Linked DNA regions of Canis lupus familiaris. The protein of the gene in region 3 interacts with the protein of the main gene of each other region in a pairwise test. Links are inferred from orthologs where the notes say so. Each region holds a gene or a part of one and is shown on either strand. Other genes may lie near its edges.

What was found.
Region 1: the proteins of REL (region 3) and CPNE2 interact in binary tests that used the Homo sapiens proteins (3 or more experiments, as listed by UniProt). The two-hybrid records come from large-scale screens. The link is inferred for Canis lupus familiaris from reciprocal best matches to the Homo sapiens genes REL and CPNE2.
Region 2: the proteins of REL (region 3) and CHAF1A interact in binary tests that used the Homo sapiens proteins (3 or more experiments, as listed by UniProt). The two-hybrid records come from large-scale screens. The link is inferred for Canis lupus familiaris from reciprocal best matches to the Homo sapiens genes REL and CHAF1A.
Region 4: the proteins of REL (region 3) and AQP1 interact in binary tests that used the Homo sapiens proteins (3 or more experiments, as listed by UniProt). The link is inferred for Canis lupus familiaris from reciprocal best matches to the Homo sapiens genes REL and AQP1.
Region 5: the proteins of REL (region 3) and FLAD1 interact in binary tests that used the Homo sapiens proteins (3 or more experiments, as listed by UniProt). The two-hybrid records come from large-scale screens. The link is inferred for Canis lupus familiaris from reciprocal best matches to the Homo sapiens genes REL and FLAD1.
Region 6: the proteins of REL (region 3) and FKBP1B interact in binary tests that used the Homo sapiens proteins (3 or more experiments, as listed by UniProt). The two-hybrid records come from large-scale screens. The link is inferred for Canis lupus familiaris from reciprocal best matches to the Homo sapiens genes REL and FKBP1B.
Region 7: the proteins of REL (region 3) and SEC14-like protein 4 interact in binary tests that used the Homo sapiens proteins (3 or more experiments, as listed by UniProt). The two-hybrid records come from large-scale screens. The link is inferred for Canis lupus familiaris from reciprocal best matches to the Homo sapiens genes REL and SEC14L4.

The regions. Positions count from the first base shown.
Region 1 is NC_049223.1:58,519,208-58,522,767, forward strand, and holds part of CPNE2 (copine-2), read right to left. Parts: intron 2,832-3,560; coding exon 2,760-2,831; intron 1,918-2,759; coding exon 1,834-1,917; intron 1,551-1,833; coding exon 1,461-1,550; intron 460-1,460; coding exon 361-459; intron 1-360.
Region 2 is NC_049241.1:55,654,897-55,658,456, forward strand, and holds part of CHAF1A (chromatin assembly factor 1 subunit A), read right to left. Parts: coding exon 3,466-3,560; intron 2,900-3,465; coding exon 2,731-2,899; intron 2,578-2,730; coding exon 2,497-2,577; intron 1,675-2,496; coding exon 1,582-1,674; intron 513-1,581; coding exon 260-512; intron 1-259. UniProt on the Homo sapiens protein: Acts as a component of the histone chaperone complex chromatin assembly factor 1 (CAF-1), which assembles histone octamers onto DNA during replication and repair.
Region 3 is NC_049231.1:62,308,505-62,312,064, reverse strand, and holds part of REL (proto-oncogene c-Rel), read right to left. Parts: intron 2,205-3,560; coding exon 1,414-2,204; 3' UTR 1-1,413. UniProt on the Homo sapiens protein: Proto-oncogene that may play a role in differentiation and lymphopoiesis.
Region 4 is NC_049235.1:43,684,837-43,689,156, forward strand, and holds the start of AQP1 (aquaporin-1), read left to right. Parts: upstream 1-1,471; 5' UTR 1,472-1,502; coding exon 1,503-1,892; intron 1,893-3,265; exon of another isoform or gene 3,266-3,684; intron 3,685-3,778; exon of another isoform or gene 3,779-4,320. UniProt on the Homo sapiens protein: Forms a water channel that facilitates the transport of water across cell membranes, playing a crucial role in water homeostasis in various tissues.
Region 5 is NC_049228.1:42,478,529-42,482,602, forward strand, and holds the start of FLAD1 (FAD synthase), read right to left. Parts: upstream 2,813-4,074; 5' UTR 2,721-2,812; intron 2,339-2,720; 5' UTR 2,194-2,338; coding exon 2,113-2,193; intron 590-2,112; coding exon 1-589. UniProt on the Homo sapiens protein: Catalyzes the adenylation of flavin mononucleotide (FMN) to form flavin adenine dinucleotide (FAD) coenzyme.
Region 6 is NC_049238.1:18,594,551-18,598,814, reverse strand, and holds the start of FKBP1B (peptidyl-prolyl cis-trans isomerase FKBP1B), read right to left. Parts: upstream 2,861-4,264; 5' UTR 2,735-2,860; coding exon 2,698-2,734; intron 1-2,697. Other genes in the region: WDCP (WD repeat and coiled-coil-containing protein), read left to right, coding at 3,843-4,024. UniProt on the Homo sapiens protein: Has the potential to contribute to the immunosuppressive and toxic effects of FK506 and rapamycin. PPIases accelerate the folding of proteins. It catalyzes the cis-trans isomerization of proline imidic peptide bonds in oligopeptides.
Region 7 is NC_049247.1:24,017,882-24,021,881, forward strand, and holds the start of SEC14-like protein 4, read right to left. Parts: upstream 2,858-4,000; 5' UTR 2,797-2,857; coding exon 2,743-2,796; intron 1-2,742. UniProt on the Homo sapiens protein: Probable hydrophobic ligand-binding protein; may play a role in the transport of hydrophobic ligands like tocopherol, squalene and phospholipids.

The DNA.
Region 1 (3,560 bases), on a different chromosome or scaffold from region 3:
CGTAGGAGGACCTGCATCTGCCCCCCACCCCAGACGATGACTCGTCTACATCATGTCCACTCCTATACCCGGAACCATCACCCAGGGCCCGGCTTCTTGAGCTGAGTTAAATGGACAGCTCTTGAGCGCTCACCATGTGCTAGGCCCTTCCCCAGTATCATCTCATGTGACTCCCACTCTCTTCCTCTGCCCCACTGGGCAGATGGGGAAATAGGCTCAGAGGAATCGGAAGTCTTGCTTAATTAGGGCCACAGAGCCAGAGAGGTGGGATCTGGGCCCCAGTCTGCCCAATCCTAAGCCTGTGTCCCCCACTCGTCCCCTGCTGAGCTTTCAGGGTCACACGCACGGGGCCCATCTCACCGGGACGCCATCACGAGCCTCACACATCTGCGACACCGAAGTCTGGAACTCGCCGATGAAGTCATGGCCCCCGTCATTGTCATAGTCGTAACACATGACCTGGGGTGGGTCCAGTGAGGTCACCTCAGGGTAGCTCCCAAGGAGGTGCTCTCAGACCCTCACAGTTGCCTGAGCAAATCCCACATCTTCCTTTTGCTGGTGCCTCCCCCTGATCCCCAGCATCTGCCTTGCTGGGATGATGCTGTTAGCTCCTGAACTGCCTCCTGCAGGAAGCCTTCCCTGATTGCTGGGAAAAGGGACACCCCAGCAATGGAGGCTGTACACTCTGGAGCAGGAAGCTTGACTCCCCACACACCTGTCACTCAGCTCCTCATCTGTTTGGGGCTGTGGCCCACTTGCCTTCGTGGGCCATGGCCAGGGGCCTTCCCTAGGGATGTTCCACAGGGCAACTCTGGACATGCCTTTCATTTCCCTACATTGTTACCTTCCTTGAGATAGGCACAAAAAAATCCCAGCTTTCCATGCCCTCTAACTGAGCTGCCACTTCTTGGAAGAAGGCAAGAATTAACCATACCCATTCCACTGATGGGTAAACTAAGGCTCAAGAGGGAAGCACTTGCCCAAAGTCTCACAGCAGCAGTAGGAGACCAGAACTGGAATTCGGGTTTCCTACTACCCCATTCAGGGATCTCTGCCCCGGCCTCACTGATCTCCTCTCCCCTATCTGCATCAGACACGGTCCCGGAGGACTGAGGGTTTGTAGAGACCAGTAACCAATGTCCTCATCACAGTGACACTTGGTTGCTTCCAAGGTGCTTGCATACTCGCTCTCCTCGGTGGCAGCACCCCAGCCCTCTGGGAAGAACCGGGTAGTCATTCTGTTCCTGTTTCAGAGAAGGGCTCACGGAGACAGCTGCCCAGATGGCTCAGGGGGTCAGACATGTGAGACGAGAGCCCAGGTCCCCACCTCTCCCCTTACATAGGTTTGCTTTTTCCATCTTAATAAGGAAGAGCTTTGCCAAGGCGTCCCCAGAAAGCCGCGGGTAAGCAAGGAGGCTGGAGCTGGCAGGGTGGGGTGCAGGGCCCCCGAGCCCCCTCACCTGGATGGGCTTTTCCATGTCCCCATCACACAGGGACACCAATGGCACAGTGAACGGTTTCCACACAGGGTCCAGCGTGTACTTGATCACCTGCAGCACAGCGAGAGCCACGGGTGAGGGCAGGTCCAGGGCAGCAGTGCTCTGGGGTTGGGCCAGTCCTGCAGGTTTGCGGGTGGCAGGTACAGAGGCCCACGGCCACACCTCTGGGAGGGAAGGGAGCATCCCCGTGGCAGGGAGGGATGGCGCCTTGAGGCACCATAATGGCTTTGCCTGTTCACTGCGTGGCTGTGACCTTACAGCCCGTCCTGACACATGGGGGTAGCCAGACTACAGACCCACGGACTTAGAGACTCCCAGCGCCCTGTGCACCCACCTCAGTCCTGTGAACCAGCATCCACTTGCCATCGTCTCCTGGTTTATAGAACTCCAGAAATGGGTCTGACTTTCCAAAGAGGTCCTGGAGGAAGCAAGAGGATGTGTGTGAGGAAGGTACAACTCTGCCGTATTCAGATGAGAGGTGGGGGGGGGGACCCAGCTGCCTTCCCCAATCCAGCCTCAGGAGTGGGAGCTGCGAGCAAAGCCAGCCCCCTGGGGCCAACCAGCTCCCCCAGGAGAAACCACCTCATCCTGGGGTTACCAAAGCCTGTGCTCAGAGACCTTGAGACCTGGAGCCTGCAGGCATTATAACTTAGATGGGGCAGGACTTCAAAAGGTGATAGTTCCTGCAGCAGGATGTGATTTTAATTTATTTCGTGGGAATCTGAGAAACTGAAACTATCTGAGCATGTCACAGAAGGGATATGATATCCTTTAAAAATCCATTTTAAAACAAGTATCAGGTAATATTCAGGGAAAAAAACATCCCAGGCAGAGGGAACAGCAAGTGCAAAGGTCCCGAGGCAGGAGGATGCTTGGTGCAATCCTGCGACAACAAAGAGGCTGATTTGGCTGAGGCAGAATGATGGTGGGAAGAGTAGTGGGAGTGAGGTGAGGGGGCACTGTGGACACACCCAGTGGGGCCCTGTAGGTTACTATAATGATTCTAGCATTGACACTGAGTGAAATAAGGAGTCCCCAGGAGGGGGTTTCCAGTTACGTCTTAAACACCTCTAAATAATGGTAAACTCACTACTTCAGTGGTAAAGAGGTCCTAATTTGGCATGGCCTGAGCTATGGACTGCTTCCTGGATGGGGCGTGATGAAGGTAATGGCCAGAAGCAGCAGGACTAGGCCCCACGAGCCTGGGCTGGGGGAGGGATACTGCTCCCTGATGGAGAACCCCCTTCTCGACTGCCTTACCTTCTTGTCCAGCTTCCTGCCCGCCAGACTCAGGGTGATGACCTGGTTATCGGACAGCTCCTGGGCAGCAATCTGTGAGGCCAGAGGAATGTGAGGGTCGGGACCTCCCATCTGACCCCCTCCCTCCCTACCCTCCAGCATCCTGCCAGACAGAGTGAGCACAGGTACTCAGGAGTCAGCTCTCCAGGGCTGGGAAGGGGAAAGGAGAGGAGGGGTAGTACCACGCGACCCTGCCTGTGGCTCTCATCTTCTCAAAACCTCTGTTTCTACCAAAGTAAACTATCTGAATAAGAGAATCAGCACTGCTCATGATGGGGAAGCCATTTGAGGAACCCCAGATGAGGGGTGGTCTTGAGCCCTGGGGAGCATAGCTACCTCAAAACGCCAAGACACTGGGCATTCCAGGAACCTTACTGTGTAGCTAGGGAAACTGAAGCCCGGGGCAGGGGCAGGAGTCACCTGAGCTCCCTCTGCTGCCTTATCATCTGTCCCTCCATGCCTTTCCTCTCAGCCATGGCCTTTATGGCCCATCCCAGCCAGTGATGGACCAGCTGAGTGACCCTGGGGCTACCCTTGCCCTCTCTGGGCCTCTCTCTCTCATTCTCTACTCTCCTCACAGAGGGGCAGGGAAAGCCCTCAGGCCAACAGCAACATATGTGGGCTGGGTTCCTCTTACCTCATGCCTATTGGACAGCCTCACCCACAAGCTACTGGACCTTCCAGAACCACACACAGGCCAGGTTGGACACTAGGCTCCCCTTCCTTTCCTCCATCAGACTTGCTCAACAACCTTGCAAGGGA
Region 2 (3,560 bases), on a different chromosome or scaffold from region 3:
TGATAGTCACACACAGAGAGAGAGAGAGGCAGACACAGGCAGAGGGAGAAGCAGGCTCCATGCACCGGGAGCCCGACGTGGGATTCGATCCTGGGTCTTCAGGATCGCGCCCTGGGCCAAAGGCAGGCGCCAAACCGCTGCGCCACCCAGGGATCCCAGGACTTCTAAGTTTTGATCCAGTCACCTAATAAAGTCTCCCTGGGCCTAGGACAGCTAGAAGCCTGGTCCCCTCCCATTCCCACCAAGCACGGACACTCACTCTGCTGGTCTCTCTTCTCGTGTTTGGAGGCCTTGGGTGTCTGCTCCTCCTCGGAGGGGACTGTCTCCAGAAGGCACGCCGTGAACTGCTGCAGCACCTTCAGGTCGGCACCACCATCCTTATTAGCCGCCCAGATGCAGCCGATCTTCACAGGCTGCAGCACACGGAACCTCTTCCCCTTAGCCAAAAACTCGTCCCACTCTTTGGCCTTCAGTTTCTGGCGAACCTTGTGGTTCTCTGGGTCAGCACACTCCTTGCAGGTTGGAGAGCAATGCTTACTCAGGGTGCCCAGGCCCCTGTGCTCTCGCCTCCCGCCTCCCAGACACCAAGAGGAAAGAGCTTGCTCATCCACCATCAGGGCTGCTGCACCCTGCACGTATCAGAGCTCCCATTGTATTCTGCACCCCTCTTCCTAGCATTACCATCTGGGAAACAGCAGTGTTTTCCTAGACTCCATGGAGACAGGCACTTATGCCCTGTGCTGTTTGTTCAGGATGCACCGTCCTCTCTGGCCATGACTGGCAGTCTCAGGTACTCCCTTAACCTCACCAGTAAGCCACTCAAGGCCACTCTGGATTTTCTGGGGAGGGTGTGATGCCAGGGTCATGCAATCAGCAACCCCAAATCCCACGCCCAGTTCACCCTCAGGGCTAGGCCCCTCCCACGCTCCAATACCGCTCTCAAAGACAGAAGACTCATGGGCTCCACAGACACACATATGAGGTATCCCTCCCCCTGCATCTGATTTGGAGAGACAAAACCATTCCCCCAGTCATACTTCCAACATTTCTCCACCACCCAAGCACTGCGACCTGAAAAGCTGTCCGAACCCTAAAACCAGCCTATTGAAAGTTTCACCATCTGGCTGAGTCTGTCTAGAATGTTGGTGGCAAGGGTAGGGGGATGCCTCAAAGGGACATGGGGGAACCATCTGGAGAGATGGGAAGTTCTAGATTTTACTTTTGGTGACAGATTTACAAATGTCAATCATTAAAACTTGCTGTGCTCAATAATTAAGATCTGTATGTTTTCTTATACTTTCATCATGCCTCAACTAAGAAACCATAAAAGGAAAAGGGGGTTTAGCAGTCTGACCCACACACCTCCCAGCCTCTCTGACTCAGCCTTCTGCTCACGCGGTCACCACCCCGGGAGTCTCTCCTACCTCTGCAGATCCCACTACCCTCCCCAGTAAAACTTAAGCCCAGGTCCCTACAACCCCATAGATGACTACTTGTTGGGGTCGCAAACAGGCTAGCAGCCACTAAGCTCAGTCCGGCCGAGCTCTCTCAGGGACAGTCACCTCCAAGCTCATGCCTCACCTCAGTTACTCCCTCGTCCTCAGACAGGTACCCATGGGGCACGAAAAAACCATCATCCTCATCTTCATCCTCTCCTACTTCATCATCATCATCCTCAAAAAAAAAAAAAAAAGTTCATAATACATAGCCAACAGACAAAATATGTCTCATTTAAAATGTTAACCTGTGGGGAATCCCTGGATGGCTCAGCGGTTTAGCGCCGCCTTTGGCTCAGGCCCAGGATCGAGTCCTACAACGGGCTCCCTGCATGGGTCCTGCTTCTCCCTCTGCCTATGTCTCTGCCTCTCTGTCTCGTGAATAAATAAAATCTTAAAAAAAAAAAAAAAAAAAAAAGTTAACCTGCAAAAGAAAAAAAAGGTTAACCTGCAAACATCTAAGGAATGAAAAGCCATCTACTGCCTTGGGCATCATTCTTATGGACACCTCAAGGGTTGGGAGAAATCCCATAGATGAATCCCATTATTTGACACTGACATGGGAGTCGGGTCATGGGAACACAGGCAAGCATGCCCCACTTAACAGGGTAGATGCTGCTTGGTCCCACTGCCAAGTGGGTTAGTGTCACCAAATAGGCTTTTCAAGAGAAGTTGAAAACCTAGTTTTTCTTAACTTATTTTTTCAAAAAAAATATTTATTTATTTATTTGAGAGAAAGAGTGGGAGAGGAGAGGGAGGGGCAGAGGGAGAATCTCAAGCAGACTCTGAACTCAGTGCAGAGTCTGCCATGGGACTCCATCTCACAACCTTGAGCCAAAATCAAGAGTTGGACCCTCAACCAACTGAGCCTCCCAGGTAGCCCTGAGATCTGGCTGAAATTTCAGATGACACTGCGGCTCGAAGGCTGGCTGTGAGTGAACTCAACCTAGGGCCTGCCTTGGCCTTCTGGGGGAAACCACAGGTGCAGGTGTGTGCTTACCCCCTCACTGTGGGACAGGGACTCGCCCGGCTCCTCCTCTTCCCACTCCTCGTCACTGTCCACCTCATAGTCCAGGAGCTTCTGAGAAAACAAGGACGCAGGGCGTCATGGTTGTCTTTCAGGGGTGGCAGAGCAGAAAAGCTACAATGCTTATGAAATCCAGGAGACCAGTGCAAAAAAGGCAAAATGAGAAGGAAATGTAGAAAGGCAGGTGAGGCTGGACCACTTGCTCACCCTGTCTTGGGCCCAGGGGTCCCTCGGATGGATGACGGTTGTCTTCTTATTCCACGTTCCCCAGTACGCTGGTCGATGATTCTCAGAAAACTGTAGGAGCTTCATCCTGCCAAACTTCTTCCTCTCAGGAACACCCTCGACCTTGCCGCTCTCCACGATCACCACATCACTGAGGAGGAAACCCAATAATGTGCCTGTTCTACAACCCACCCGCTGACCACCCAGGCTTCCCAAGAAAATAGGCTATCAACATTTTACCATGATGGGTAACCAACCACCTGCTCCCAAGAAAGCTAAGGGACATTTATTCCAGGGACACAGAGCAAGGAGGAAGGAGAAACAAAACTGCCAAGTTGCTGGCTCACAGCATTTACAGAAGTGGGGTCGTGGAGAGTAAGCAGATCAAAGAGAACGGTGAAATGTCCTTCCCAGGAGGCCAGCATGGAAATAAGATCCCCCCTCTGAGAGACCAGGAGGCCAAGCCAAGCAGTCTGCACTCCATAGCAGTGGCTTTTGGCAAAGCCACTGCACATGAGACTTCAGAAGCTCAGGGGAGGCCAAAAAAGCAAGGTCTGAAGGTTCAGGCCTTAGGTCCAGGATGGAAGACAACTAGCCCTTGGCCACGATGAGCCAGCAGCGGGCCTAAACCCAGAACTCTGCCTTGGGCCCTCCAGGACTTTCCAACTGCGCTCTGATTTCACCAACAGGCAAAAGGCTGTCTCCCCACCCACTAACCTGTTATAAATATTCGTGTTTCGATTTGAAACCACGGTGGGTCCGGACCTGAGGGGCTGACGGCCTTTCAGATCTTTCAGGAAGGAGAATTCGCC
Region 3 (3,560 bases):
GAGAAGAAAATGGTAAGAGATGAAATAGGAGGAGTAAGAGCCTGCCAATTTTCAGGATTTTGTTGAGCAGGTTAATGATACAATTTGACTTGTTTTACAAATAATCATTCTGGCTACTTTGGCGAGAAGAGACGGTAGGGCACAAGAAGTGACAGCATCTCTGGAGGCTAGAGCTTCAATCCAGGCAAGAGGTGATAGGACACTGGCTTAGAACAGGAAGTTAGCAGTAGAGGTCAAAAGAGGTGGGGAGCTTTGGATATATTTTGAAGGCATGGCCTACCAGATTTGCTGATGGATTGGATTTGGGAGAGAAAGAAAAGATCAAGGATGACTCCATGGTTTTGAACCTGAGCAACTATATAAGCATAGCACTGCTATTTACTAAGTTGGGGCAGCCTGAAGGGGAACCAAATTGGGAGGGAAGATGATGAACTCAGTTTTGGATGTGTTGAGTCAGAGCTCACTAATTAGGTTCCTAAGTAGAGATGTCAAATAAGCAATTTTGCATACATGGGTAAGCTCCAAGCCTGGAGGTCAGAGGATAGGTCTAAGGTAAGGATAAAATTTAGGAACAGAGAGCATGAAATTAGATGTGATCACAGTGAGTGAGGGAACACAAGAAAGATGAGAGGTCTAAGGAAACCTCTTCACCTTAAAGACATGGGTGTAAAGCTAAAAATCACAAGCAATTTTAAAGGTAAGGATTTAATTGGTCTGAAATGTAGAGAACTTTCCCTACCTTGAGTTGAGTGAGTTGAGCTCACTTCAACTCTCTTCTGTTCAAGTTAGATTTTTTGTTTAAAAGATTTTACTTATTTGAGAAACAGTGCACATTTGGGAGAGAGGGAGGGAGAAGCAGACTCTCTGCAGAGCAGGTAGCCCTACTTGGAACTCCATCCCAGGGTCCCAGGATCATGACCTGAGCCCAAGGCAGTCACTTAACCCACTAGGCACCCAGGCCTCAACCCGAGTTAGATTTTTAATTTTAAAGATTGTTGACTTACATGCAAATTTAAGAAACTCCAAGAAACCTCAGAAAACCCCTTAGGGGTCACCTTGGCCTATGAGTCTCAAAAATAATAAGAAAATCATTTCTCTAATGGCATAGCCATTATAGGTTTTACCTTAAATTTGCTTAAAAGCAAATATCAGTTAATTCATTTAACTAAGAATACATTAATACAATACAAAAGAAGTATAAAAAAAGTGTATTTGGAAGAACTGAGGTGTCTTGATATTCTCTTCATTCTGTACTGAGAAGATGGGGTAGGACTGTAAAGCAGAAGTCCCACCACACACAGTATCGGGTCACATGTTTCAAAAAGAAGAAACAGTAAAGTCCTTTTAAATTTCTATTTCAGTATTTTCCTTTCATGATACTTTCCAGCTTGGTCCCAAACTACCATTTAAGTTTTACAAGTTACCTTGAAAAAATTCAAATGCAAAGGAGTCGCTCAATTGCTCATTCTGCATAGTGCCAATACCAGAATACTGACTATGAACAAAACTGTGACTGTTGGGATTAGTACCGTTTGATGGTCCTGACTCATTTATCATACTGTTATCTGTACAGTTGAAATCAGATCCCTCAAATGCCTCTGGCTGAGGAACAAAAGCAGTAGTACTGGAACTGGCACCTGCTGGCATACTGGGAGAGGACATCTGATGGAGCTGTCTCAAGTCTCTTGGGTCTAACACTGAATTACATGAGGGGTTTTCGAGATTCATGCTCACAAGTCTCGGATTATCAGTCTCCCTCATGCTGTCATTACTAGGTGTTATCATAGTCATAGGGCAATTCGGCAGCATGTTACCATCAGAAATACCATATAAATCAGCTGATGACATGGACGGCGCTTCCATTCTGCCTATGTCATTCGCATTGTTATAAATACAAGCATTAGAGGCATTCAAATCACTCTCAAGAGGTATTTCCAGATATGGTGAGATACCTTGTGGATTAGAGGAGAGTGTCCCTGTTGAAAAACCACTCAATGGATTCGTATTGACTGCACGTGAGGTGGGGTGGGCCCCTGATGACCAGCTTGAAGAAGCCTGAGACACCATTGAAGGTATGGGTGAAGAATGATGTGACAGTGCATTTGACATGGACACAGACGAGGAATAGTAGGAATCTGCTTGACTTGAAATGCCTGAAGTCCTGGGCATTTCTGTCAAAACTGCACCATGAGAAAAGTTTGATTCTGTGGGGAGGAAAATGTTTTTTACAAAGTGAAACAAAAGTATAAAAAACACTATCTCTAAATTAAAATTGCATAACCACACTAAGAAAATTTTCAAGCAAACTGATGTAACATTTTAGAGAAAAATGTTAAATAGCACTAAAATTATTACATGAGTCCAAAGCTGAATTCTGTAACACTTAGTGTTTTACAAATACCTATAAAATAATTTTGGTAAGTTATTTTGAAATAGATAGCTTCATTCCAGTTAAGCATGAAAATTTAGCTTCTGAGGCCTTATAAAGGTATTTTTGGAAAGTGAAAAATAAATCAGAATTTCAGGGGTGCCTGGCTGGCTCAGTTGGTGGAGCACACAACTCTTGATCACAACGTTGTGAGTTTGAGCCCGCATTGGGCACAGAGATTACTTAAAAAAAAAAAAAAATCAGAATTTCAGTTAATGGAAATCTAAATAGCCAAAATCATTTCATATTCACTACTCTTAGGAGAAAATGGAGAGACGGAGGAAAGGTTCATTAGGGATGATTGAAAAATACACATAACTTGTTAAGATAAGCATCTGACTCTTCAGCTCAGGTCATGATCTCAGAGTTGAGATGGAGCCTAGTGTCGAGTTCTCCACTGGGCACGGAGCCTGTTTAAGAACTCTCTCTCCCTCTGCCTTTCCCTCTTTCCCTCTCCCACCTCTCTAAAAAGAAAAAAAAAAAAGATGTAATTCTAAGGTACTACAAAATTTCCAGACAGAAAAAAAATTAAGGATTCTGTATGTATAGTATAGGACTGCTATACATACTAAACCAGGAAAAAAGCACAGATTTAAGAATGTAAGGGGAAGAAAAGACTTCCAGTTAAATAACCCTGGTTCAATTATCTAAACCAGAGGTCTGCAACTTTTTTTTTCCCTGTACAGGGCCAAATATTTTATGCTCCGTGGGCCATACAGCCTCTATTGGAACTACACAATTCTGCCATTATAATGTGAAAAAAAGCAACCAGAGACAAAACATGTAATCAAATGAGCATGGTTGTTGTGTTCCAGCAAAACTTTATTTTTAAAGATGGGCGACTGGCTAGATCCAAACCATTTATTCCATGACACATGGTAATTAGGTAAAATTACCACCATATGAACAAATGTAATTTCTCAAACAATAAATCCCCAAAACATAATCATAGTTCCCAAAAGGAACTTAAGAAGCTGAGATCAATTCATTTAATATTCAAAGCACAAAAAAATTTGTGAGCCTAGAAAATAGCAAAGAAGCAGTTTTCCTTTCCTAAGAATAGAATCCAATATACTGTGCAAAGCACTGGTCTTTTGACCGTTAAGGAATACTCTCTATGGGGGATAAAATA
Region 4 (4,320 bases), on a different chromosome or scaffold from region 3:
CACAGGCTCATCCTGGCCCCGCCCCGGGCGCGTGCAGAATTCAGGGATGTCCTTCCCCGGCTGGGCCTCGATCTGCCAGCTGTAAAATGGGGAGACGCCAACACAGCCGTGGGGGACCGGGGAGGCGGGCGGGAGGTGGGAGGAGAGGCCCAGAGAGGGCCGCTCCCTCCCGGGCCTGGCCTCGCCCCCTCCCGGCCCCGCCTGGCTGCTCTTGCCCTCGCTGCACACCGACTGGGCAGGCGGCCGGCAGGAGCCCCCTGCCTGGGGGAGTCCGGGCGCCTGCACAGCTTACCGGCTGCTGTCGGGCCTCTGGCTGGCGGCGTGCAGGGCAGGGGCTGGGGGCAGGGGTCTGCGGGCCGGCCTCTTCCCCACCCACCCCACCTTTCCCCTCTTGCTTCGTGCCTCTGCTGGTTCCAGTGGCGTCTCCTCTGTCAGGTTTGTCTCTTCCCCGTCTCTGCTCCCTGGCTGTCTCTCCTCCTCAGCCTGGCCTGAGATCTCGCTCGTCTCACTTGCCCTTTGACTCTGTCTCTCTGCCTCTCCCTTTGTCTTGTGTCCTCTCTCCTTCTCTCGTCTCTGCCTCCGTCTCCAGGCTACCTGGCCATTCCTTCCCTCGCCCCCTGGGGTCTGCCAGCATGCAGCCCTGGAGAGGAAAATCCTGAACTGCCTCTGTTTTCTCCACCTGCCCTGCTATCGTTGGTTCTAATTGCTTCTGGAGCAATGAGGGCTCCCAGAGTGGCTACTTGCCTATCTCGGGCCTGCCCTTGACCACAGAGTGCGGGGTGGGCCACCGACAAGCTCTCCGTGCCTCCTAATGCCTCTGTGTCCCCATCAACTGGGCCTGGCCAGTGGTGCTGGGCCCCTGGGGCATCCCTAAGGTGACATCTTGTAGCCAGGCCTGGGCCAGGGTGTGGGAGACCCAGAATGCCCCTGGGGACCCCTGGACCCGTGCTGTCCAGAATAACGCCACTCCGGGATGGGATGGGATGCCGGGCGAGCAGGATCATGGTGCCCCACTTCTCGGGAAGGCAAAGTCCACCTGCGGAGTCCAACCCACCCACCCTGCACCATCCAGAGCTTCTGGCTCTGCCCATGGACACCCCTGAGCTCCGCACATAGGGCGGGGACACCTGGATTTCTCTGGCCCCCTGAGTGGGGCCAACTTGGAGGAATTTCCCAAAGCCTATTAGAGCAGTGGCTGCCTCCCGCCTGCCTCCTCGGGCTGGGCAGGGCTGAGGGCGGAGGGAGAGAGGGAGGGAGGGGGGAGAGGAGGGAGGGAAAAAAGTTGGCAGGCCGACAGCAGAGCTGTGTCTGCATCCATCGCTGAGAGGAGGCCCGTGAAGTGCGGGGCGGGCCAGGAGCAAGGAGAGGCCTTCCTCCCTTTGTGCTCCCCCCCCTCCTCTCCTCCCCCCGGGCCCTATAAATAGGCCCAGCCCGGGCTGTGGCTCAGCTCTCGGAGGGAGTCGAGCACCAGGCAGCGGTCTCAAGCCAAGCCCCCTGCCAGCATGGCCAGCGAGTTCAAGAAGAAGCTCTTCTGGAGGGCGGTGGTGGCCGAGTTCCTGGCCATGATCCTCTTCGTCTTCATCAGCATCGGTTCTGCCCTGGGCTTCAACTACCCGGTGAGGAACAACCAGACAGCAGGTGCGGCCCAGGATAACGTGAAGGTGTCACTGGCCTTCGGGCTGAGCATTGCCACCCTGGCCCAGAGCGTGGGCCACATTAGTGGCGCCCACCTCAACCCAGCTGTCACGCTGGGGCTGCTGCTCAGTTGCCAGATCAGCATCCTCAGGGCTGTCATGTACATCATCGCCCAGTGCGTGGGGGCCATCGTGGCCACCGCCATCCTCTCGGGCATCACCTCCTCCCTTCCGGACAACTCCCTCGGCCGAAACGAGGTACGTGGGGTGGCCCCAGGTGCTGGGCTCTGGAGCAGAGCACACGCGGCATAGGTCTCATCCTCACCCATTGTGCAGATGGGGACACCGAGGAGCAGAGAGGGCACGAGCTGGCTGGAGGTCATGAGGACTTGGGGCTGGAACTCAGCTACACCTGCAGCCCAGAGCCCGTTTCCTACCAGGCACCGTGGGAAGCCGAGACCCAGAGAATAATAGTCTGGCCAGTGTCCCCTGCAGGCGTCTATCGTGGGGAATCAGCTCTGGAGGCAGCTACCAATTGTGGGGACAGCAGCTCCTCACCCCTCGGCTGTAGCTTCTAGGTCTCCACTCTGCCCGGCCGGGGCAGCCAGCTCCCTCTTCCTACAGCCTGGACCCTGGGGACACGCTGCCCGCTGTCCCCAGCCCCCCGAAGCTGGGTGCCTGGCACATTGGCGCGGGTCAGCAGCTGCATGAGCAGGACCCATGGGTGGCCACACGGACCCTCAGCCCGCCCCATATTCACACAGGTCCCCAAACAAACTGCCTTCAGGGAAAAAGCCCCTCCTGCTCCTTGGTCCCCGAGAGTTAGATGAAGCTGCGGGGCAGCGGGGGTGCGGTGGGGGCAGGTGAAAACATTCTGGCTGGTTTGCAGGTGGTTTTCCTGGATTACAGTAGGGGTGGTGGCCAGGGTGGGGACATCTCGCCTCCCGTCTGGGCTCCACTCTCTGTCGCCGGGCACCGTGAGGTGTGGCACGTGTGTTTGTGTGTGTGAACGGTGTGTGCACGTGGATGCTGGCATGGGTCTCCGGGCTTGTGTAAGCTGTGCGCTCCCGTGGGTCTGCGAGTGTTAGTGCAGCCGTGTGAGTGGGCGGCGGGGGCGGGGGGCGGTGAGTGTGTACCTGTGCATGCCCATTGCCCCTGGCCCCAATGGGGTCTGGGCCGGGGGCACTAATGGTGAGCAGATGTTGGTGAGTGGGTGGCAGGCTGCTGCAAAGAATTCCTCCCGGGCCGCTTAGCACAGCTAATTGGCCGTTGGCGGCAGTTGCCTGCTGTCGCAGACCTGGGCTTTTCCAGACCCTCGGCCAAGTGCAAACTCAGACCCAGCCCGGGGCCACCGCGGCGGGGGGAGGCTTGGCCTGAGAGAGGCTGAGGAAGGCTCGGAGGGTGCCTTCCCGGGACAGGGGAGTGGCGCACGAGCACACGGGAGGAACCAGATCTGCAGAATCGGGGCTCGGGGCCTGGGCAGGGCAGGCGGGGGCAGGGACCGGGAGGGAGCCAGCCCAGGGCCCCAGAGACCGCGGCCCGGGATTACAGCGATTGTTGTCCCGCTTCCCAGCCAAAGTTCAGATCCTGGCGCTGCAGCTGCGGGGAGGCTTGGTAAGGCCTGGTGCAGAGGGCAGCTGGCGAGGCCTTGGCTCGGGCTGGGGGGGATTAGCACTTCTTGTGTCACAGTGACACCTTACCCGGCCCCCTCGCGGAGCCAACCGCTGCTCGGCCCAAGATTGAAGATTAGCCCGCGGGCTGGAGTTTAGACTTTAGTCGAAGAACGTGGTGGCCGAGGTGGGTGGAAGGGACGAGAGCTCCGGCAGGCTCTCCAGAGGGCAGGGCCAGGTGACTCCGGGGAGTGACCCCCGGGTGGGGTCAGGTTCAGCCGTGGCCGGCTCGGTGGGCAGGGCGGGCGGTGGCGAAAAGGTGCCCGTTGGGGAGGGGTTGAATGTCCGCAGGCCCCTGCCCTGTCTTGACCCTCCTTCTCCAGGGACAGGCAGGACAGGCATCTGTGGGCAGACGTCGCGTTCTGACTCGGGCATCACGGGTAGGTGCCGGGAGGGTGGCCGCCTACCGTGGCATCTTCGTCTGGCCGCAGCCTGCTCCAGTGTCCCTTCCCTGCCCCGGCCTCCGTTTTGCAGAGTCGCCCAGATGCCTGGCTGGGCCGTTGGCAGCTGGGGGAGATAAAGGGACAGGCTCCTGCCGGGGACAAGCACGCCGGGCTCACGTCCTGTCTGCTGCTAACCTGTTGCGTTTTCCTGGAGCTGAGGATCCTGAGACTCCAAGAAGGAACCTAGGTCTTTATAGATATTTCCTGGCCCCTCCTAAACCACCAGCAAGCTCACTCTGGGGACTTGTGTTTATCACCCTTCCCAGGAGGGTCTGGCTAAGAGGAGCCCACGGGGGGCCTCGCTGACCATAAGATTCCTGAGTGTTGTGGTGGGGTGCAGGCACTGTCCTGTCTACACCAGGGAGGTTTGGGGTTCCAAAGTCTGGGCCTAGAAACAGAAAGCATCTCTCCCAGGGCTCCTGTCAGACGCTGGACCTGCGATGTGAAGGCATCTGAAGTTCCTGGCAGGTGGCCCTGATGCCTCAAGAGAGGCAGAGACCGGTCTCTGCAGCAAGTGACACACTTTTTCCCCCAGGCTCAGAGGGAGGCTCCCACAGCCCCTTGGGCCCTGGG
Region 5 (4,074 bases), on a different chromosome or scaffold from region 3:
AGTAGTTGCTGCCCCAGTCAGGGTAGGAACCCAGGCCAAGCTTGCGCCCAAAGTGGGCCTGGGCCTCAGCCAGGATGGGGGCGATAGAGGCCTCATCAGCGGCCACATAGAGCTCCCGCAGGTGGAACTGCACAGCTGTGTTTTGGAACAGCCCCTTCAGCCCCTCCAGCACCCTCCTTAGCAGCTCGGGAATGCCTGGGAAGAGGTAGACGTTTCGGACGGAGACCAGCGGGAATTTGAAGGGCTGGCCCGTTTGAGGATCTGTGCCGTAATGCAGGCGGGCAGAGGAGGGCACCAGAGACAGCTTCTCCCAGCCCTTCCCTCCTAGGGCTTTGATGGCTGCTTCCAGCTCCGGGTGTGGCTTAAGCTCATCCCCGAAGGCCTGTGCTACAGCCTCAAAGGTTACATCGTCATGAGTGGGGCCGATGCCCCCTGCTGTGAGGACGTGGGTGAAGCGGCTGGAGAAAGAAGTGATCTCGGCTGCAATCGTGGTGACCTCATCAGGGACAACAGAGACGCGGCACACCTGGACCCCCAGGGAGCGCAGTGTCCGGCACAAAAAGTAGGTGTTGGTGTCCTGAGTGTGTCCCTGAGAGATGAGATAGTGACAGTGAATATCAATGCGGTGGGGATGAAGGGCAAAGGGGAAAGGGTGACAGCTGCATTTTCCCAATGCTGGGGCACTGTGCTCTTTGGGGGGTACTGTCTTGGGCTGCCAAAAAGCCTGGACTGGGGGATCCCTGGGTGGTGCAGTGGTTTAGTGCCTGTCTTTGGCCCAGGGCGCGATCCTGGAGACCCGGGATCGAATCCCACATCAGGCTCCCGGTGCATGGAGCCTGCTTCTCCCTCTGCCTGTGTCTCTGCCTCTCCCTCTCTCTCTGTGTGACTATCATAAATAAATAAAAATTAAAAAAAAAAAAAAAAGCCTGGACTGGGCACAGGAGTGAGAAAATCCAGCTGAACAGTCAGGGGTAGCATGATCCACCCTGGGCCTTCTTTGCATTTGAACCTTGACCTCAGATATGCTTATGGATTCCACGGTCAATTCTATTGTGGATGACTCATCCACTACCTCACCAGTCCTGCCAGTTTCAATCCCCTGGCTCCCCGCACTTACTAGGCATTTCTACCATATTCCTGGCTGTTGTCACTTTGGTTAGTGGCATCCCCAGACACTGTCCATAGCCAGTTGGGCACTTCTGTTGTCAACGCTACTGAAATGTCTCCCCACTTCTGCTCTCTGTCCTTACTACCACCACGCAGGTCTTTGGCACCTTTTATCTGGACAGTGGTGACAGTCCCTGGCCAGGCTCCCAGCCGCCAGCCACAGTGCTCTGACCCAGGCCTCCTGACTAACCTTTCTAATGTGCTACTGTGATTGCACCACTCTTGGGCTCAAAAGCCATGTGTTGTTTCCAACCATATTCTGATTAAAGTTCAAATTCCTCTGAAGAATATTTGAGGCTGCCTGTCTACGGGTGTAGATCTGACGCTCTTCCCTGGCCCCATCTCCTTCTGCTTCTTTACAGGGGGCTTCGTAGGTAAGGGTTGCTCTGGAGGAAGAGAGAATGGGCTTGGAATCCCAGCTCTACCACTCCTGAGCTCTGTAATCTTGGGCAAACTTCTCAGCCTCATCATCTAATAACTGAGATTTATAATAAAAGTATCAAATCTCATGGGAATGCTCTAAGGATTAGTTAAGACCGCGTATTGATATAATAAGCACACTGCCAGGCCCCAGTAAGCACTCAAAAAACGGGTCAATATTAGTTATTACAAGCCTGATGCCATGACCTCTCCTAAGACTTCCCTCATTGTTCCGAGGGATTTCCTCCATCTAGTCCTCTCCTGTTTTGCTTACTCATGCACTGCACCTCCTTCACGGGATGGACTCCCGCTGGTTCCTGTAAAGCCCTCCTACCGCTATGAAAATGCTTGGCAAATTGTAGCAACTTTGCTGCAAGTTTTCAACAGAGTAACTGGAAGAACATGTTGGACCCACTACAGGGACGTGGTGGGCAAGGGGGCGCCCCCGGTCGGCCTCCCTCAGCAAGGTGCAGCAGGCTCTAGAGGACGGGCGGCGCCCACCCCCCCTCTCCGTCCCAGACACACCTTGAGGATCTCATCTCCAACAATGATGATGCCCGCCGTCACGCTGCGCCCTGGGGGAGGTGCAAAGGCCCTAGATGCCATGGTCCTGCCTTCTCTGCCCCTCTGCACGGCCCTCCAGTAGCCACCCAGGGCCCCAAATAGGGGTCGGAAGCAGGGGAGTCGCGCCAGGTCTACAGGGCACTGGGGGCCATAGCCTGAAAACAGGGGGGTCTGGGGTCAAGGGAACCTGGAGGAGCCAGAAGGGACACGGGGAGGGCATGAGGGCACGCTCTTCCTCAGAGAAAGACCTCGCCAGGCCCCTGACAAGACTTTTATCCCTGCCTCTAAGAATTGCGTTCTCAAACCCCAGCCCCGGCCTCTTCGCATGCCTTCTAAGCTCGGCTACAGTGTCCTTAAAATGTCCTGTTCTCCGAGCACCCACAGCTGAGCGCGGCCACCTGCACCTTTAAAGACCTCTTCTCTTCGGGGCACCTGTCCCTTTAAGCGTCTCGCCCCCTCCGCCCGGGACTGGAGCGCAGGCGCCCCTCCCTCAGGCGCCCGCACCCCTTCTGGCCGGAGCCCCGTCTCCCCGCCCCGCTGCAGCCCGCCGCGCTCTCCCAGGTCCGCACCTGCCTCTCGGGCCCTTCCCCGGCTCGTGCCCTCTGCTCCCGCACGTCTCGAGCGACATCCGCACGCAGAGTCCCACCCCAGACCCGCACCTTCTCACGGCGGTTGGTCACCGTGGCTGTCGCTCAGACGGCCTCCAAGGGCCCATTGGTGCAGCTGGCTGTCGCTCGCCCGCCTTAGCCAAGGGCGGGAGCAGCGCCGGTTGCTATCGGCGACAAGCACGTGGTCACCACCCGCCCGGAACTGCGGGGGCGGGACCAGCGGGCCTGGTGCGGGGGGCGGGGCCAGCGGCAGCGGTGCGAGGCGCTGCTAGGAGCCGCGAGCGGAGGCGTGACGCTCGCCTCCATCCCGTTAATACATCCTCGCGCGCAAGTGCTATGCGGCGCCCACTCTAGTTCTAGGCACTGGGGCTGCCCAGGGCTTCGGTAGCGCGCGCACGTTGGAGACACCAGCAAGGAACACCTTGGAAGGTAGGAGAACTTGGAGGTGAGCTTTTAGGGTGTGGAGCGCTCATACCCCTCTATAAAAACGATGAACCTACATACCTGACCCCTGCCTTGCTCCACAAAGTGGTCTGAACACCACCTTTGCCCGATTATTGGTCTTACAGGTAAAGTGAGGGCAGTGACTAGGCAGTGCCGTGTGTCCACTTTGGAGTCTCACATCCTGGATTATTCTCATTTCAGTTGCTTTTGGTCTAAAACTGCTTAAATTTTAATGTTTCATCCGGGATCTTTTTTTTTTTTTTTTTTTTTTTTTAATTTTTTTTTTTTTATTTATTTATGATAGGCACACAGTGAGAGAGAGAGAGGCAGAGAGACACAGGCAGAGGGAGAAGCAGGCTCCATGCACCGGAAGCCCGACGTGGGATTCGATCCCGGATCTCCAGGATCGCGCCCTGGGCCAAAGGCAGGCGCTAAACCACTGCGCCACCCAGGGATCCCTCATCCGGGATCTTTTTATAAAAAATATAAGTCCTCCCTGTGCCCAAGGTGCAGCTTGAATTCACTACCCAGAGTTGCATGCTCCACGGACAGAGCAGGCCAGGTGTTCCTATCTGGGACCTTCCTAATATGCTGATTAAATTTCCCCTATTCAGTTGGGGTGGGAGCCTGAGATCTGCATTTAACAAGCTCTCGTGCCATGCTGATGCTGATCTGGGTCCCTAGAGTATGTTTCCTGTAGTAAACATCTAAAACCCATCACTTGGAGAGCAGTTGAACCACATCCACCCTCATTTTACTCTTCTAAAGCCCAAGATAGATGATGCCCATTTTACAGATGGGCAGCAGGCTAAGAAAGGTTAAGGGATGCCACATAGCAACTACAAAACACTAATGTGAAAGAGCCAGGCTT
Region 6 (4,264 bases), on a different chromosome or scaffold from region 3:
AAGAAAGCTGGGTGACTGGAAAGAAGGGAGGGAGAAGGAGACAAGTAGGAAAGAGCAGGATCATGCAGATCATGCCAGACATTGGACATCGTGGAGCTAGATTTAACTCCAAGCGCAATAGGAAGGCACTGGAGAGTTTTAAGCAAAAGGATGACATAATCTGAATTAAGATTTTATAAGATCACTCTGGCTGCTGCCTGTAGGATGGACGATTAGGCGCCTGTTGCAATAATCCAGACAGGAAATCAATTATGGCTTGAATTAACGTGGTGGCAGCAGAGAAGAGAGCAAAATAGATACGTTTGGGAAACGGGGCTGACAGAGTACACTAATGGAACGGAGATGGGGTCCAGGAGGAGGGACAAGGAGAAATCAAGTACAATGCTTGGGTTTTCAGTTTGGGCAATTGGACGTATGGTGGAACGAACTAATTCCAGGTGGGGAAGACTGGGGAGGAGCAGATTTGAGCAGTTGGCAGTCTTGAAATGCCTATTAGACATCTGAGTTTATATTGCAAGTAGGCAGATGGAGGGTCTGCACTGGAGGTATAAATCTGGGTGGAATTTAAAGCCACAGGCCTGGATAACAAATCTTTGGGAGGCAAACAAGTGAGCCAACATGTAGAGGACTCTGTGGGAGTCCAGGAAAGCATCAGAGAGGAGATAAGGTTAAACCAGATCTTAAGAGATGACTAGTTTGCCAGAGGAAGTTAAAGGAGATAATCTGGGAAGAACTGATGACACATTCAAAGGCCTGGAGTCTAGCACTAGTGGGATCCCTGTCTGGCTCACTGCTGTTAACCCCAGGGCCTAGCACATAGTACATGTTCAATAAATATTTGCGGAATGATTGATGTGTTTTAACAACTTTGCAGGAAGCTTGCTGAAGCTACAGAAAAAGGTGGTAGTGGGGGTAGGGGCTGTAGTAAGAGACTGCCCTAGTGTGGAAGGTAAGACCAGGCTAGATTACTATCTGTCTGAGAAGAAAATGGAAGATTCATTAAAGCACAAGGCACGGGGATAAGGTAAGAGGGGAGCAGAAGGGAATGGGAACCTAAAATAGGCATTTTAAAGACTCCTCAGGCTATGGTGTGGAAAATAGGTAGTGAGTTAGGGAGGCCAGATGGAAGGCAGAGAGGTCAGACTGGATGTGTGGAGACCAATGTAGAGGATGTGCAGAAAGCCTGATGAGAGACCATCATCTGAACCAGGGCAGGGGCTAAACGGATGTAGCCTAGAGAATTTCAGCAGAAGGACCAAGTCCTACCAGACTTGCTGCGGGGCTTCACTTAGAATGGTGCCCCCAGCCTAACAATACAGTAGCTTGGCCCTTCTATGCCTTCTTGACTCAAGGGTTTAGACTGTTAAAGCAGAAGGCCAAAGTTTTTTCAGGCTTTCTCGAAAAATCTAATCTCCCTCAAAAGAAAATGGCCCTTGTCCTTGGCCAGAAAGGGAGGATAAGCAGAGAAAACTCTAAAGGCTACTTTGAGTCAGGGGAAAAGAGAAGAGGCCTCCAGCTCCCTGGGAGATCTCAATGGCAATTTCCCTGGGGTGTGACAAGGTCTCAGAGAGATGCTTCCTGGGACCCAGCACTATTGTTCTCAGTGGGGGCAAAGAAGCCTGTACCTGCAGGGTGACAGGGATCGGGACTGGGACCTCTAGGGACCACTGCCTTTTAACAAGGAGGGTGGCCTAGAACCAAGAGGTCTTCCAATTTCCTAGAGAGGGTGGGGGTTGTCAGACATGTCTCACATGAAGTTTGTCTGTCAAATTCTGCAGAAACGGGGGCTCTGGACTGGATTAAGTGTCATTTAAAATTTTTTAAAATAAGCTATTCCTTGCACATCCAGACCCAATTATACAAGAGATGTCTGGCTGGGGAAAGTGAGTGGTGCCGCTCCTGACGGGGGGGGGGGGGGGGGGGGGGGGGGGGCAGGGAAAAGGGAAATACAGAGGAGTGCTTGGGCGTGGGGAGGACAAGGAGCTCGAGTTGTTTTGGACTCGCTGAATTAGGTTTCCATGGGACATCCAGGTAGAGGTCGAGCAGCAGCTGGATAAATGGGTCGGAGATCTGGGCTGGAGGCTTAAGTTTGGAGGCCATCGGTTTGCAGACGGTAATGAAAGCCATGGGAGTGTACAGGATGGCTGGAGAGGCGGAGTGGGGCGGGGAGGATAAAGCAGGATGCAGAGGCGGCGGAGGGAGCGCTTCTTCCTCGCAGACGGGCTCGGTCCCCCCACAACGTCTCCCCGCCCAGCCCACGGGGGCCGCGGGAGCCGAGGCCCTCAGGGGGGCGCGTTGGAAACGGGTTGCCCCAAGAAGGGAACCCTTCCAGCGGTCCCCGGAGCTCACCTAGCAGGGCAGGGAGAGCAGAGCCAAACCCCTGCCCTGGGAAATTAGCAGCGGCAGACAACTGAGGGGCTCCCGCGGCGGCGGCGGCGCCCGAGGCCCCCGGGGCGGTGGCGGGCCCAGACCCCCGCCTGCGGCCGCCGCCTCCGACGCCCTAGGTGAGCCGGCGCGGGGAGGGGGGCGGAGGGTCGTCGGCCAGAGCTCCGACAGTGCAGTCTGGGGTCTCCCCCGCCGCCCCACCCTGCGCCCGCCCCCGCGTCCTCACCCTCCGCGCCACCTCCGACCCAGACCCCCGCCCGCCCGGCTCCGCCCCGGGACCCTTCCTCCTCCCCCGGCTCCGCCGCCCGGTACCGTCTCCCGGGGAGATGGTCTCGATCTCCACGCCCATCGCAGTCCCACTGGCCCCGCCTCTGAGGGTCCCGGCTGCTGCCCCGACCCCGGCTCGGCTGCGGCTCCGGCTCCGGCCCCGGCCCCGGCCCCGCTGGCGCTCCGGCTCGCCTCCCCGCCGCCACTGCAGAGCCGGAGGAGGTGCGGCGGGAGTCGGGACCTGCGCGGGGAGGGGCCACGGGGAAGGGGGCGGCGGGGCGGAGCGGGGCGGCGCGGAAAGGTGGGGTCGGCTGGGGCGGGGCCCGGGGAAGGGACCCCGGCGCCGCGGCTCCCGGGCCTGGCCGGGCCGACCGTCGTTCACGGGGGTGGGGGGGGACGGAGGGGGAGGCAGAGACCCCCGCGCATCTACGCACCCGCCGGTGCAGCCACCCCTCTATGCATCCGCTCATCACAGATTTATCTAGCATCTACTCTGTGCTAAGCTCTGGGGAGTCAACCCGGTCCCACCGACTAGGCGAAAGCCAGCAACTAAACCAACACTTTAAATAGATGCGCTCACTGCCCTGGAGTCCAGAACGTTAGGGCAGCACCCGTTAGGGTACTCGCCCTGGCTCGGCTGCCGGACTGTAGGAGCAGCCTGGGGGTGCGCGCGGGCGGGGGGAGGGGGCGGGGGGGAGGGCACCGGCCATTACCCCACTGCGATCTCCCTAAACCCCTGGTCGCCGTCCCGCGTAGTTCTCCAGCACTCACAGGTAGATGCCCACCTTCAAGGCAAAGAACAGAGCCCTGAGGATACCAATTTAATTAAAGCAGAATCGCTGTCGTCAAAGAATGAAATTTTGTGACGGGCGGGGACGGGGAGAGTTAGTTACAGCGTGGAGTGATTCGTGCTGTGGGATGAATGAATAAATTATACCTTGAGCTCCTCTTCCACGCTAGACCCTTCACCTCCACCCAAAAGAGTTCCAGGAATCTAGAAAAACATCTTTGGAGGAGATGACATTTGCTTGAAGAATGAATGGAACTTTATTTTTTCCCCTCTCTTTTTCTCTCATCTTTCCCTGCATTGTTCTAAAAATCGACGTGAAAGCATGGTTCTGACCAGTGGCACTGGAATATAGGCACGAGGAGAAAAGCCTGAGCAAAGGCACCCAGAGTGGACCCTAGAAATGTTCTTCTTCCACCCCCACCCCCAAGGCTCCCAGATGGTTAGGTCAGACTTGAGGATATCAGCATCACTGAAGGAGCACTGGCTGTTTTGTTCAAGAAAGATGATGGCCAACTGTACTATGAGGGTCAGCATCCGAAATTCCCCATGGACTGCTTCACGGCGTGGCCCAGAGTCTCCCAGGTATGCAGCTAGTCTAAAATCTAGTGATGCACCGGGTCCTTCCTTGGACTATGGTCCATGGGGAGGCACTCTTGGGGAAAGTGTAGGACAGGGGTTTGTAACTCGGATAGGTCCATGGAGCAGCTTCAGTTGAATGCACAATATTTAGGATAGGGATAAGTACATTTTTCTGGGGGGGGGGAGATTTTTATCACATTTTAAAGAAGTGATACCATCCCACCTCCTGACCCCCTTCCCCGC
Region 7 (4,000 bases), on a different chromosome or scaffold from region 3:
AAAGATCGCTGGTGAATCTGATGCAGGCAAACCAGAACAATTTAGGAACCTTGCCCTTGATACTGGATCTTATGAGTCTAGATTTGAAAGCAAGTTACTGAACCACTCTGAGCTTCAGTTTCCTCATCTGTGTAGTGGGGATAAAGATAAATTTGTGCCAGTCAAAGGAGTGTGTACAGGTAAAGCACTTAGCATCAGTCTTAGCTTGCAGCAGGTGCCAGAAAAATGTGGGCACTCAGCAAATGTGGACTGCTCGGAGCTCCAGACAGGGGAGTCTTTGTGGAAACAACCCCAGGCAAAGGTCAGCAGGGAGGAACTGCAAGAGAAGCCAGGGATGCCGCATCAGGCCCGTCAAGACTGGGGAAAGAGAGGGGCTGACCTGCTGACGCAGGCTCTGCCCACTGGCAGAGTTTGGGAAAGCTGTTGAAAGTTTAGGTATGGGTCTGGGGCTCAGTTCTGGGAGAGAACTGTCCCCCACTTCAATGGGGACTAAGGGAGCAGAAGGCAAACCCTGGAGGGGTGGGTTTGTGGGAAACTGTGAATGAGAATTTAGGATTAGAAGTCATTGTTAGCAAAGCCAGAGGATGCTATCTTGACAGCCATCCACCAAACCTCCTTTAGCTTTATGGATGATGTTTAAAATAAGAATGTGGGGTCGCCTAGGTGACTCAGTGGTTGAGCATCTGCTTTTGGCTCAGGTCACGATGCTGGGGTCCTGGGATGGGCTCCCTGCTGGGAGCCTGCTTCTCCCTCTGCCTGTGTCTCTGCCTCTCTCTTTAAAAAAAAAAAAAAAAAAAAAAAAAGAATGTGTTCATGTATTGATCACATAATGAAAAACAAATAAAAAGACGAAAAATCTCCAGTGTCAACAACTAAGGTGAGCGAGAGCACCAGCTATCATCATCGCCCACCCAGTCCCAGCAGGCACAAGGATCAGTTGAGGAAGTTTTTAGGGGGAGTGACGGAGAGTCACAATAACCAAGAAATAATAATTCTGCACGCTCAGCCCCTTCAGATTACCAGAGTTCCTCCTGTGAACCTCTGGGATGTGCCCTGAGGCAGGAGAAGCAAGGGTCACATCCCTGCTTTGTGGATGTGGGAAGGGAGGCTGGGGTGCTGGAGGGTCTTCCCCATGGACAAAGTAAAAAAGCTACAAGGCCAGGAGGAGTCCACACCTTCCAGTCTCAAAGCCACCCCACCCTTGGGACGCACGTCAAGTAAAAGATAAGACCACTAAGCAGGTGCTGGGAAGGGTCCAGAGTAACTTAATGGAAAAAATATCTTAACAATGAGGCCATACTGGGGCACCTGGGCGGCTTGGTGGTTGAGCATCTGCCTTTGGCTCAGGTCGTGATCCCAGGGTCCTGGGATTGAGTCCCTCATTGGGCTCTCCCGAGGGAGCCTGCTCTTCCCTCTGCCTTTGTCTCTGCCTCTCTGTGTGTGTCTCGGGAATAAATAAATAGAATCTTAAAAAAAAAAAAAAATCAAAACAAACAAACAAAAAAGAACAATGAGGCCAAATGGAGAAAGCAGCCTCTGGCAGCCCAACCAAGGTGGTTAAAACTAGGCTAAGGTAAAAAACTTAGAAGGAAATGCTCCTAGGCATGGTTGTCTAGATCTCTGGGACCACGGGTGACTTCTTTTTCCTACTTTCCTTTTTCTCCCTAATTTTTAAAACAACTAGCATTCATTTCTATTAAATAATGGGAAAAAATAAGAATAAACTCTTTTCACATTGTTTAAAGCTCTTTGACCCACAAGCATTTCCATCATAATTCACCCCCAAAGGCCAGGTGTCCAGCCCCTCCCAAGAGCCTAGTGTCAGGGCTCCCCTGAGGCCTCTGCCAGTGGGGAGGGAGAGGGTTAACCAGGGGACTCCCCCTCCTGCTTCTCTTGGGGACCCCTCCTTCAGCTCAAGACTCTCTGCTCCTGGAACCTCATCCTTTACCTGGAAATTCACCCAGCCCCCCCCCCCCCCCTTCACCTGGGACCCTTCTCTCCTTCACCAGGAATTCATCCAGGGTCCTCCTCCATGGGGGGTCTTCATTCCTCCCTGGAGGATCCTCCCCAGGGTGGGAGCCATAAAAGAAACCATAGTCTCCCCAAGTCCGAAACTTGCCCTTCTTTGGCCCAAAGTGTAAGCCAGGTAGGTCCGTCACCCCACTCCCCTAACGTAAAGTCACAGTTTCCAGGCCCTGCCATCTCCTAATCAAATTAATGCTGTGGCACCTAAGACCTGAATATGTCCCCCTTCCCCAGGGTGTGACACTCTCAGCGGCAGCTTGACGGACTGCCTTGAAATCCCCCAAACCCCTCCATTCCTCTTTAATGGAAACACCAGCGATGGGGAGATGGCTTCCCCCCTGGGGAGTCGGAAAGCCACAAAGACACCAAACAAACAGATGTTGCAATCCGGGCAGGAGATCTGCGGGGCGGTGTGCCCAAGGCTGCCGGGGACGGCAGCACCACCCCACCCCCAAAACCAGGGGACAAGGGCCGGGGACAAGGGCCGCAGAGGGCGCAGAGGGCGGGAGGGGAAAGCGGGATTTGGCCCCAGGGCAGCCCAGGGAAGGGTTCAAGGCCAGTGTCCCATACACGTCTGCCTCAGCAACTGGGCGCAGGGGGTGCGCGGGACAGGAGGCTCGCAAGGACCCCTTTTCCATCCAAACGCCGGGGCTCCAGCCCAGGTGGGCAGCGCCAGGCAGCTCCCCCCTCCCGAGCCTCCCGGCCGAAGCCCCTCACCGTGGCCAGCGCCTCCTGCTGCGGGGGGCTCAGGTCCCCGACTCGGCCGCTCATGGTGCCGCGGGCCGGCGGGGGGGCGCGGGGGTGCCAGGAGGGCGCCGGCCCGCCAGGCCCGCAGCCGCCGCGTGGTTTTGTGCGGGGCTCAGATGTCGGCCCCGCCCCAAGCCGAGAGCGCCGCCCCGCGCGTCCCGCCCCCCACCCCGGGGTGTCCGGCGGGCGGTGGACCGGGCGCGCCCCACGCGGGGCAGGGAGCCCGGAGAGCGGACTCGAGGGGAGGCCGCAGGCGCCGCCACCTCCAGGCCGCCTCGTGCGGGGGCTCGGACGGGGTCCTGAGTGGAGGGGAGGGCGGGCGGGCCTGCGGACCTGCGGGCAGCTTCGGGGAGCACACCCGGCTCTCCTCCCCAGCAAGCTGGAGGACCTGGGGCTTCCTTTTAAAACTTTCTTTTTTTTTTTTTTTTTTAAGATTTTATTTATTTATTCATGAGAGACACAGCGAGAGGCAGAGACAGGCAAAGGGAGGAGCAGGCTCCATGCAGGGAGCCCGACGTGGGACTCGATCATCACGTCCTGGGTTGAAGGCAGGCGCTAAACCGCTGAGCCACCCGGGCTGCCCAAGGAACTGGGGCTTCCTAAACCAGACTCCACCCTCTAGATGTGTCCGGGAGTTTCTGCCCGAGGGGCCCCAACCTCCCTGCCCTGGCCTTGACCACTGGCTAGGAGCGCCCTATCCGTGCTCACAAGCTGATGGAGGCCTTTATGTGCAAAATGGTTCCAGCTCCAAGATGGTCAGAAGACTAGATAAGATGATCCGCCATGGGTTAGCCTGGCATTCCACTTAAGTGTGCAATGTTAGGACTTTTTTTTTTTAAAGATTTTATTTATTATTTATTCATGAGAGACACACAGAGAGAGAGAGGCAGAGACACAGGCAGAGGGAGAAGCAGGCTCCATGCGGGGAGCCCGACGTGGGACACGATCCCGGGTCTCCAGGATGAGGACTATTGTTCCATAATAATTACTATGATTGATGCCTTCACCAGAACAGGGAGGGGCTGCATAGGTGGAAATTCTGGGATGGCCCCTCTGGTAGCACCTGGGTAGAATCTATAGCCTGAAGGCCAGGGCATGGGAGGGGACAGTAGTCACTGGAAGCCCCGGTGGGGTGGTGGAAGGCTCAGGAGACCCCGGGTGGTGGGTGGCTGACACAGGTGGTCAGGATGACATCCGGGAATCAGGCAGGGTTCGCTGAGAAAGGTGA